3 linked regions of the Saccharomyces cerevisiae S288C genome follow. The gene in region 2 interacts genetically with the main gene of each other region. Each region holds a gene or a part of one and is shown on either strand. Other genes may lie near its edges. The genes, in order: ERO1, GPI18 and GPI16.

Region 1 (3,600 bases), on a different chromosome or scaffold from region 2:
CTTCCTTACTTCTGAGCTTTGCTTCTCCTTCCTTGCGATTAATGTTACCCGGTATACGAAATCGGAGAGGATCAGAATAAATGCATTGAAAGGAGCATAAATCTATACAGCGGTTTGGCAATGGTGAGAGGAAGAGAACAAAAAATAGAACGCAGATAGTCATGTCCAAATACGCTTGGTATACCAGAGTTACAGATACATTACATCGTCTAACGGTACTGACGTTGGTTGGTGGTACGTTATACATGTCGGGTGGCTTAGCTTACACTTTATACATGAACGGTAAGAAGTACGAACAACAAGTGACCCAACAAAAGGCACTTGAAGAAGACAATCAACAACTGCAAAGTCCTACTGCACCTCCTACCGAGTAAACTGCGAGAACCCAGTGCTAATAAAATGAAGAAAAAGTACTAGATTACATTTTTAAGTGTTGCACTATATTCTAAGGGCCTCCATCGACGTAGTGTGCTGGTTCCACCTTCTCCTCATTATCATGCCAATATTTACGAACCTGTATATAATAATTAAATCATAAGAAACAACAAAAATAAATAACATTGCTGCCGGATTCCCGTAGGCAAAACTAACATATATATCGCTGCATGCCTTCCTATTCCTTATCAGGGGAAAGACTGCCACTGAGGTTTGAGGCCAAAGGCTGAAACACTTTTCTTCTAAAATGTCGTCTATTCGCCATCTAGTTTTTTATCTGACTATTTCTCGCTGTTTACTTTTTCTTACTGCCATTATGTAGGCCTTTTGAGTCAGCTTTGTGAAGAGATCTTATTACCTTAATTCTTGCTGAAAAATACATCGCAATGAAGTCACTTTCGTGATGGAAAGAACACGGCGGTAAGAATACGTTCCTTTTTGTGCTGTGTACACCCGTAAAATTGTACATTATTTATTTCAAAATATATAACAGGATCCCTCCAGTGTGTCTGAAATGATGCAACTCTGATACTTCAGAGTCGTACCCTTATTAAATACTAATGCCGAATATAGTCATCCAGTAGCCATAGTTCACACACACATTACTTATTCACCACATAAAGAACTAGAAATGCTTGCTAAATATCGTACCTTGAAGGTAAACATTAAGGCCCCCCAAAAGCATATATACATACTGGCAACACAAAAAAAGTAAATTGCCAACCACCTACCTTACATATGGTTTGCCCATCCTACATTACCAATACTATCAAGACATTTCTTCTGAAACATATTCACAACTGAAACGAGATCATTTTCTTATCTATCTATTGAGTAATGCTTACTTTTCATATTTTCAATGAACAATAGGATATGTAGGAGAATTGATATATTCACTGCGTATCAGAGAAAAGGTCTACTGACATTTTATGGCAAATGTATTCTACACAAATCGAGAATACCACAGACAATGGTACAAGACATACACAAAGAGAAGACTGTTCTAATTAAACAAATAATATTGAGCTACCTGCTAAGTATGTCCTTTTCCCTTTGTCCTTTGGTTTCTCTTATAGAAGACCCTGGAAATTTTTCGCATTTTTCCGGCTTTGGGCGTTAGTAAGAACAAAAAGAAAAGAAGAGAACAAAAAAGAAACGATACGGAGTACGTGTCATAAAAACTTGTTCAATCATCCTTGAAGCTAAGTATAAAGAGCTTGAAAAGGTTTACCACTTAAACTGGTTATACTATTTCAAGAGTGTAAACATTTTATTGCATATACCACAGTAACGTGCAGGTAAAACATGAGATTAAGAACCGCCATTGCCACACTGTGCCTCACGGCTTTTACATCTGCAACTTCAAACAATAGCTACATCGCCACCGACCAAACACAAAATGCCTTTAATGACACTCACTTTTGTAAGGTCGACAGGAATGATCACGTTAGTCCCAGTTGTAACGTAACATTCAATGAATTAAATGCCATAAATGAAAACATTAGAGATGATCTTTCGGCGTTATTAAAATCTGATTTCTTCAAATACTTTCGGCTGGATTTATACAAGCAATGTTCATTTTGGGACGCCAACGATGGTCTGTGCTTAAACCGCGCTTGCTCTGTTGATGTCGTAGAGGACTGGGATACACTGCCTGAGTACTGGCAGCCTGAGATCTTGGGTAGTTTCAATAATGATACAATGAAGGAAGCGGATGATAGCGATGACGAATGTAAGTTCTTAGATCAACTATGTCAAACCAGTAAAAAACCTGTAGATATCGAAGACACCATCAACTACTGTGATGTAAATGACTTTAACGGTAAAAACGCCGTTCTGATTGATTTAACAGCAAATCCGGAACGATTTACAGGTTATGGTGGTAAGCAAGCTGGTCAAATTTGGTCTACTATCTACCAAGACAACTGTTTTACAATTGGCGAAACTGGTGAATCATTGGCCAAAGATGCATTTTATAGACTTGTATCCGGTTTCCATGCCTCTATCGGTACTCACTTATCAAAGGAATATTTGAACACGAAAACTGGTAAATGGGAGCCCAATCTGGATTTGTTTATGGCAAGAATCGGGAACTTTCCTGATAGAGTGACAAACATGTATTTCAATTATGCTGTTGTAGCTAAGGCTCTCTGGAAAATTCAACCATATTTACCAGAATTTTCATTCTGTGATCTAGTCAATAAAGAAATCAAAAACAAAATGGATAACGTTATTTCCCAGCTGGACACAAAAATTTTTAACGAAGACTTAGTTTTTGCCAACGACCTAAGTTTGACTTTGAAGGACGAATTCAGATCTCGCTTCAAGAATGTCACGAAGATTATGGATTGTGTGCAATGTGATAGATGTAGATTGTGGGGCAAAATTCAAACTACCGGTTACGCAACTGCCTTGAAAATTTTGTTTGAAATCAACGACGCTGATGAATTCACCAAACAACATATTGTTGGTAAGTTAACCAAATATGAGTTGATTGCACTATTACAGACTTTCGGTAGATTATCTGAATCTATTGAATCTGTTAACATGTTCGAAAAAATGTACGGGAAAAGGTTAAACGGTTCTGAAAACAGGTTAAGCTCATTCTTCCAAAATAACTTCTTCAACATTTTGAAGGAGGCAGGCAAATCGATTCGTTACACCATAGAGAACATCAATTCCACTAAAGAAGGAAAGAAAAAGACTAACAATTCTCAATCACATGTATTTGATGATTTAAAAATGCCCAAAGCAGAAATAGTTCCAAGGCCCTCTAACGGTACAGTAAATAAATGGAAGAAAGCTTGGAATACTGAAGTTAACAACGTTTTAGAAGCATTCAGATTTATTTATAGAAGCTATTTGGATTTACCCAGGAACATCTGGGAATTATCTTTGATGAAGGTATACAAATTTTGGAATAAATTCATCGGTGTTGCTGATTACGTTAGTGAGGAGACACGAGAGCCTATTTCCTATAAGCTAGATATACAATAAGAGCAACACAGTTTATCTTATATGTATTCAATGTATAGATTTCAAAATATAGAGTTTAAATATCATTCAAAATATTCAATAAATTTTTCCTTTGAAAATTTAGGCCACTAAAAAATTATAAGAGCCAAAACGAAGTAGATACAATAATAAAAATAATATAGTCATATC
Region 2 (3,836 bases):
GCCAAATATGCCATTGCTAAAGCAGATAGCGGCGTTTGAGAGTCTGGCTTGATGACTACTGTGCAGCCCACAGCTAAAGCAGCGGCGGCCTTTCTCGTGATCATGGCGCTCGGAAAATTCCATGGACAAATTATACCGCATACACCAACAGGTTGCCTAATTGTGAATACTCTGTTGTGAGGGTTCAAGGGTTGAATAGTAGCACCATATAAACGGGGTGCTTCCTCGGCGTACCACTCAAAATACGAAGCCGCGTATTTGATTTCTCCTTTAGCTTCCCCTAGAGCTTTACCATTTTCTAAAGTAATGATGGTTGCCAGATCATCCAAATTTTCAAGCATTAAGTTATACATGTTTCTGAGCCACTTTGCCCTCTCTCTTGGTGTTGTATTCTTGTACGTCTTGAAAGTTTCATAGGCAACATCAATCGCTTCCTCAACCACGGAGACTGGTTGTTCGGGAACTCTTGCTATGATTTCGCCGGAAGCAGGGTCTACCACCTCAAAAACTTCGTCAGTGCCCTTAACCCATTTTCCGTCAATATAACCAGATTCTCTGAATAAATTAGGGTCGTTTAGAGTTGGTTTAGAATACTTACTCAAAGTCATGTTGAAATAGTAGTTTGTAAAATTTGCTTTTAATGTAGCTGGTTTTCTAGCTTAATTGATCAAATAAGAACAGAACAATAAAGGACGTTGCGAAATAATATCTATTGATCTCTGACGAGTATTTATACCCTATTTCCTCTCCATTACTGATGGTGATGTGATGTGATGTGGTGCTATCTTGTCACCCTTAATCCATTGGCCGCCTTTGCTAATCCCGCGCGCATTTTCCCTTTATCACCACCACGCCGTGCGATGGACTTGAAGTATTTACTATTGATAAAATAATACTGAGAGATTAAAGACAATGTACTGAATATAAACTATAGCACTTCAACGACCGCGGGCCTGAAGCGGATTAGGAATTAAAATAATTATTATAGAGATTGGGTAAAAAAATGTAAATATTTCTGGCAAAATATTGTAACTCAACTGTAAGAGGACAGCCGGAAAAAAAGATTCAGTTCATGACCTTGCATTTACCTTTGCCCTCTCCGGTGGGTTAATTTCCTGCGTTGTAGTCCCGCCCGGAAGCCTTTCCAATTGCTCCACCGTATCACTTACAGCTGGAACGCGCCCATTGCTAGGCCTTGTTAAACCGTAATCCGTATCTAAAGAGTTAGCTTGGTGAACTACAGCAGCGGGAGGTCTTTCTAAAGAATTAACAGATTCTGATGAACATTCTTGTACCAATGGCGGGGGGGCCACGTATGCAGCCTTATCGTTGGGGTGAAACTCGCCCCGCTGGTCATAGTATCCAAGATCATGTTCGTTCGCTGTTTCTGTATACTCAGGAACATAATCATCTGTCCGTTGCTGAACGGTCCCAGTATATTGTTGCTGAGACTGTCTGTATGAAGGCGGTGTCAACCATGCCGTACCTCTAATGGGAGCACGCCCCATCCTTCGTCTCCTTCTGTTCGCTACAAAAGTGAACAGTATTATAAGGATTACTGCGGCAACAAACAGCACAAACAAAATCCATATTCCTGACTGCCATGACGACGATGATGGCCCATAGTAACTAGTCACAAATTTGCTAACGTGATGGTTATCTGCCTTTTTCACCTCGTTTATCGCCTCATTTTCGTATGAAATAAGTCCCATTCCTTATTCTTAATTCGAGTTATACTTTCCTATTTATTGGAATGATCAATAAGCTATTACAGGTGCCTTTTCTGCATGAGCTTCCTGTCGGTCATTTAAATACTTAAAATAGAAAATCCCTTTTAAATCAAACTTTTTTTTTCAAGGCTTAGTTGAAAAAAAAAGTAAGCCTCATCATCGAAAAAAGACATAAAAGAGAGGCTTCGAGAGAGGAGGCGGAATAAGACTAAATTAAAATATGATTGTGGGGTTGACACTTTATTTTGTATTATTCCGTTCAATACAGTATTTACTGGTTTTTTTGACTCCAATTAGGCAGTTTGATACATCAACATCACTTTTATTAAACGAATTATGTTCTTCTCCCTCTGAAATCAACAGTTATTGGAACAAGTATTTTTGGAATAAGCTACTATCATGGGACAGTGTTTTTTTTATCAAGAACATAACTTCCAAAAACGGAAAACCTCAATTTGAGCATGAATACGCGTTTTCTCAGTTGTGGACTTTTTTCGTTAGGCTGTTTATTAAAAGTAATAACGATAGCATCTACCATGCCTTAAGGGTTGGAGTTGCAATAGAAAATGTTTTATTTTACTTGTCAGGTATTGTTTTATATTTTCTAACAAAAAAAATTTTCAGCCAAAATATAAGGCAATCACAGTTTGCTAGAACTATCGCTAAAAAAACATCTCTGTTGTTTTTCTTAACGAGTGCCGCTGGATTTTTAACAAGCATATATTCTGAACCATTATCTTTTTTTTTTGCATTTGTTGGTATTTGGAGTCGTGAATGCTCCATTTCCGTGCCCGTATTGGGTCAATTCGATATTTCGTGGAGATATTGGTTTCCTTACTCCTTTATCAGCATGGCTTGCTTTACCTTAGCATCCTTGAATCGTTCAAACTGTGTTTTGTTAGGGATTTACTTTATTTTTGACCTTATTGAACTAACAAAGAACAGGAAGTTTGTAAAAGCAATATGTTTCCCACTATTATCAGGATCATTAATGTTTTCTGCTCTACTATATCAACAATATTACCTACCATATAAGACATTTTGTCCTCAAAGGGGTGAATGGTGTAAATCTCAATTGTTTTCAAGCATTTTTATCACGAAAACTTCTTTATATTCCTACATTCAGAGTCATTATTGGGGAGTTGGGTTATTGAAATACTGGACCCCAAACAACATCCCAAACTTTTTGTTTGCTGTCCCAAATATTATTATTTTAATCTATTCCTCCATATATTTCAGCAAAATTTATCCCTCCTATAACTTGAAGGCTCTCGTATGGATCACCAGAGCACTGGTCGTCATAGTATGCTTTTTTGCCCATGTCCAAATTCTGAATCGTATAGCCTCCTTTTTACCCTTGCACCTTTGGTATTTGGCTGATAGATTGGTTAAAACTTCTGATCCAAAAAAAATGGAAAATCCGAAAGGTGACGATAAGATAGTCAAGTTTTACATATACTGGTTGGCATTCTGGATACCTTTACAGACTATCCTATTTGCAGCTTTTTTACCACCAGCCTGATCCTTAATGCTTGTATATTTCTTCTTTTACTAAAAACATATAAAAACTATTTACATATAGAATATAGAATAATGCGACACTATGACCTTCTTCATTTTCTCTTTATTCTTCACCCTTTATTTGAAATTTCAAGGTTTACTTTCTTCTTGTTAGTATACTATTAGTTAAAAACTCTAGGGCAGAACGAGCATCAGATTCAGGAAGAGAATCCCGTAGATTTTGTAATGCCTTGTCCCTATATTCCTCCGCTAGTATTTTCGTCTTCGCTATACCATTATGGAGTCTCACAGAATCAATAGTTTTTTCAACATCACCCCTCTCTGAAAAATTGCGTGAAATTAGTGGACCTAAAGATGGGTCTTCTTTCCATGCAAACAAGACTGGAGCAGTAGCAATACCTAATTTTAGATCCGCGCCGGATGGCTTCCCTAAATCTTTTCCAGACACAGTAAAATCAAGCATATCATCTACGAGTTGGAAACATATACCTAGATTTCTACCGAAATCATAGCATTCGTCGATAACGGCAGGTGATGCCCCAGATAATATAGCAGCACATCTGCAAGATTTTGATATCAAAGCAG
Region 3 (3,836 bases), on a different chromosome or scaffold from region 2:
AGGATCCCTTTTAAAAAGTAGAAACTGATGGTAAATAGTGAGTGCTTCCAGATTATGTAAACTACGTATACTTCATACACATATCTAGATGCTAGATTGTTAGTCTGTTTTAGTCTTTTTTTTCCCTAGGAACTTTTCCTTTAGCTTTAGCAATTTGTATTTTAAGCCAGATTGCAACGTAATCTTATCGGCCTCTTCGACGGTGACCATTCTCTTCACCATCAAATTGTATAGCATACCGAATATGAGTCCCATGATTGTAGATGTTAGAATGATGACGTTATACGGCATACTAAAATCCGGTGTAGACAGGGATAACAATAGGGTAGAGGTTCTCATTTCATAAAGAGACGATGAGGACTCCAAAGATAGCACGGTGATTACAGCTGCATCGATTTCAAAACCATGGTTTGCATCTGGTGGATACTCGGCAAATTGCAGAAGAGCTTTATCGAATTGATAAGTCATTACAATGTCCGTATTAGCTGGAATTAACATCGTGAACTCCAAGTGGCCAGGTCTTTTTCTATCGGCCGCTTGTAAATAGTATTTATCTAAGATGATATCGTTTTCTTGCAATTGCGGAGAGGTAGTAGAAGTAATTTGAAGAGAGGATAGGTAAACTCTCATGAACCATGGCAATGATTCGAAATAAATCAACTTCACAGGGGTATCATTGTCGTTATGGAAAACAATACGCATTCCACCACGATCTTGTCCATTACCAGTCAGAGATCTGCTTACGTGAATTGGGACAGGAACTATGGGAGTAACTTTAGTAGTGTCCGTCGATTCTAAAATAAAGTCGTAGCCCGAACCACCCTCATTTTGATCGTTTGATAAGTCAAAGCAATTATCATGTGTGCTGAAAATAGTATCGTCAACTGACAAAAACGCAGTCCAGGTAGAACGGTCAACTTCTGCACAAATTCTTGTGGGCCTATTAGCAAACAGGTTGCCATTGTTTATTGGTCTGGCAAACAGCTGAGACAGCTTGAAGTGAGTCTGCGAAGGTTCCGGTAGAGGGAAGCATTGGTAAGAATCAAAGGGTTTATCCGTGTCACAACGCAATGTGTTCCCATCCAAAGGTTTGGGGATAGGTCTCTCACCTCTTGCCAAGGCGGAGGGAACGTGTGTTACCATTTCTATGCGTGCGTCCATCTCGTAGTGACAAAGAGCATCTTCATCTTCAGAACAAATAGTGGCAATATCCAAGGAAATACTATTCCATAGAGAGTCGAACAATTTATGACCATCCAAGAGAGATGTCAAACCGGATTTGCCCCTAGTAGGCAATAGTTTTATGAACGGCGTCAAGTTCTCGGTACAGATGGGTTCATTGGGCAACGATGCTCGCATCAGGTACAGTTTCTCGGTGCTATTGAAAAGAGGAGCTCCTATATCAGAAGCATATGACCGCCGGGGAAAGGTCGTCCTTGACTCGTCGATAAAATTTAAAGAAGAACAAAACAATCCGCTCAATGAATTGGACAGTTTTTTCCAATTATGGAACGCCTGTTCCTGATCCATGGCCTGCACTTGCGACCACAATTCCACACCTGAGGCACCTGCCTCTTTTCCAGCATGTGGCAACTGTCCCCACGACAGGGCATCCCAGAATCCTCTGGTAAATCTTAAATGAAACTGACGCGTGGCAGTAGATTCCAACAATGGTGGGATGGCCCGTGGGAAAGTCGTGTAGTGCTCATACGCATCATATGACATGGATGATACGGCCGGGTCAAACGGTTCCGATTGCAGTTGGAATGCAAATGAGAGTAGCAGATCATTGTTGGGCAGCGGCTTCAACACCAGTGCTTCGTCGTACGGATACCATAAACTGTCATTTATACCAATCTGCGACACCGTGTCTTCTGCGAACACACCCAGTAGTAGAGTGCCCAGCATGAAATAGGCCAGTGTGAGGATCATCGTCGTCTTGCCTATGCTTTGTTTGCTTTGAACACTTGTTTCCGCTCTCCTTTTACTTATTGGCTACTAAAACTACGTGTAAAAGATCGCCCAGCGCAAAAAGGTCCGGCGGTTTCAAATAATCTCGAACTATTCCTATAATATGCAAAATAGTAGGTAGGAACAAGTCGACTCTAGGCAGATAAGGAAGATGTCCGGTAAATGGAGACTAGTGCTGACCGGGATAGGCAATCCAGAGCCTCAGTACGCTGGTACCCGTCACAATGTAGGGCTATATATGCTGGAGCTGCTACGAAAGCGGCTTGGTCTGCAGGGGAGAACTTATTCCCCTGTGCCTAATACGGGCGGCAAAGTGCATTATATAGAAGACGAACATTGTACGATACTAAGATCGGATGGCCAGTACATGAATCTAAGTGGAGAACAGGTGTGCAAGGTCTGGGCCCGGTACGCCAAGTACCAAGCCCGACACGTAGTTATTCATGACGAGTTAAGTGTGGCGTGTGGAAAAGTGCAGCTCAGAGCCCCCAGCACCAGTATTAGAGGTCATAATGGGCTGCGAAGCCTGCTAAAATGCAGTGGAGGCCGTGTACCCTTTGCCAAATTGGCTATTGGAATCGGCAGAGAACCTGGGTCCCGTTCTAGAGACCCTGCGAGCGTGTCCCGGTGGGTTCTGGGAGCTCTAACTCCGCAGGAACTACAAACCTTGCTTACACAGAGTGAACCTGCTGCCTGGCGTGCTCTGACTCAGTACATTTCATAGCCCATCTTCAACAACAATACCGACTTACCATCCTATTTGCTTTGCCCTTTTTCTTTTCCACTGCACTTTGCATCGGAAGGCGTTATCGGTTTTGGGTTTAGTGCCTAAACGAGCAGCGAGAACACGACCACGGGCTATATAAATGGAAAGTTAGGACAGGGGCAAAGAATAAGAGCACAGAAGAAGAGAAAAGACGAAGAGCAGAAGCGGAAAACGTATACACGTCACATATCACACACACACAATGGGAAAGCTATTACAATTGGCATTGCATCCGGTCGAGATGAAGGCAGCTTTGAAGCTGAAGTTTTGCAGAACACCGCTATTCTCCATCTATGATCAGTCCACGTCTCCATATCTCTTGCACTGTTTCGAACTGTTGAACTTGACCTCCAGATCGTTTGCTGCTGTGATCAGAGAGCTGCATCCAGAATTGAGAAACTGTGTTACTCTCTTTTATTTGATTTTAAGGGCTTTGGATACCATCGAAGACGATATGTCCATCGAACACGATTTGAAAATTGACTTGTTGCGTCACTTCCACGAGAAATTGTTGTTAACTAAATGGAGTTTCGACGGAAATGCCCCCGATGTGAAGGACAGAGCCGTTTTGACAGATTTCGAATCGATTCTTATTGAATTCCACAAATTGAAACCAGAATATCAAGAAGTCATCAAGGAGATCACCGAGAAAATGGGTAATGGTATGGCCGACTACATCTTAGATGAAAATTACAACTTGAATGGGTTGCAAACCGTCCACGACTACGACGTGTACTGTCACTACGTAGCTGGTTTGGTCGGTGATGGTTTGACCCGTTTGATTGTCATTGCCAAGTTTGCCAACGAATCTTTGTATTCTAATGAGCAATTGTATGAAAGCATGGGTCTTTTCCTACAAAAAACCAACATCATCAGAGATTACAATGAAGATTTGGTCGATGGTAGATCCTTCTGGCCCAAGGAAATCTGGTCACAATACGCTCCTCAGTTGAAGGACTTCATGAAACCTGAAAACGAACAACTGGGGTTGGACTGTATAAACCACCTCGTCTTAAACGCATTGAGTCATGTTATCGATGTGTTGACTTATTTGGCCGGTATCCACGAGCAATCCACTTTCCAATTTTGTGCCATTCCC

Evidence for each region.
Region 1: mutations in GPI18 (region 2) and ERO1 together harm fitness more than expected from each alone (negative genetic interaction), as found in Saccharomyces cerevisiae (2 studies listed by BioGRID).
Region 3: mutations in GPI18 (region 2) and GPI16 together harm fitness more than expected from each alone (negative genetic interaction), as found in Saccharomyces cerevisiae (2 studies listed by BioGRID).

Annotation. Positions count from the first base shown.
Region 1 is NC_001145.3:11,315-14,914, reverse strand, and holds ERO1 (ER oxidoreductin), read left to right. Parts: upstream 1-1,740; coding exon 1,741-3,432; downstream 3,433-3,600. Other genes in the region: COX14 (Cox14p), read left to right, coding at 162-374. UniProt on the Saccharomyces cerevisiae protein: Essential oxidoreductase that oxidizes proteins in the endoplasmic reticulum to produce disulfide bonds. Acts by oxidizing directly PDI1 isomerase through a direct disulfide exchange.
Region 2 is NC_001134.8:243,782-247,617, reverse strand, and holds GPI18 (GPI-anchor transamidase GPI18), read left to right. Parts: upstream 1-1,950; coding exon 1,951-3,252; downstream 3,253-3,836. Other genes in the region: UGA2 (succinate-semialdehyde dehydrogenase (NAD(P)(+))), read right to left, coding at 1-608; RCR1 (Rcr1p), read right to left, coding at 1,071-1,712; COQ1 (trans-hexaprenyltranstransferase), read right to left, coding at 3,388-3,836. UniProt on the Saccharomyces cerevisiae protein: Mannosyltransferase involved in glycosylphosphatidylinositol-anchor biosynthesis. Responsible for the transfer of the second mannose to the glycosylphosphatidylinositol during GPI precursor assembly.
Region 3 is NC_001140.6:481,906-485,741, forward strand, and holds GPI16 (GPI-anchor transamidase subunit GPI16), read right to left. Parts: upstream 1,933-3,836; coding exon 100-1,932; downstream 1-99. Other genes in the region: Elongator subunit IKI1, read left to right, coding at 1-14; PTH1 (aminoacyl-tRNA hydrolase), read left to right, coding at 2,123-2,695; ERG9 (bifunctional farnesyl-diphosphate farnesyltransferase/squalene synthase), read left to right, coding at 2,940-3,836. UniProt on the Saccharomyces cerevisiae protein: Component of the GPI transamidase complex. Involved in transfer of GPI to proteins.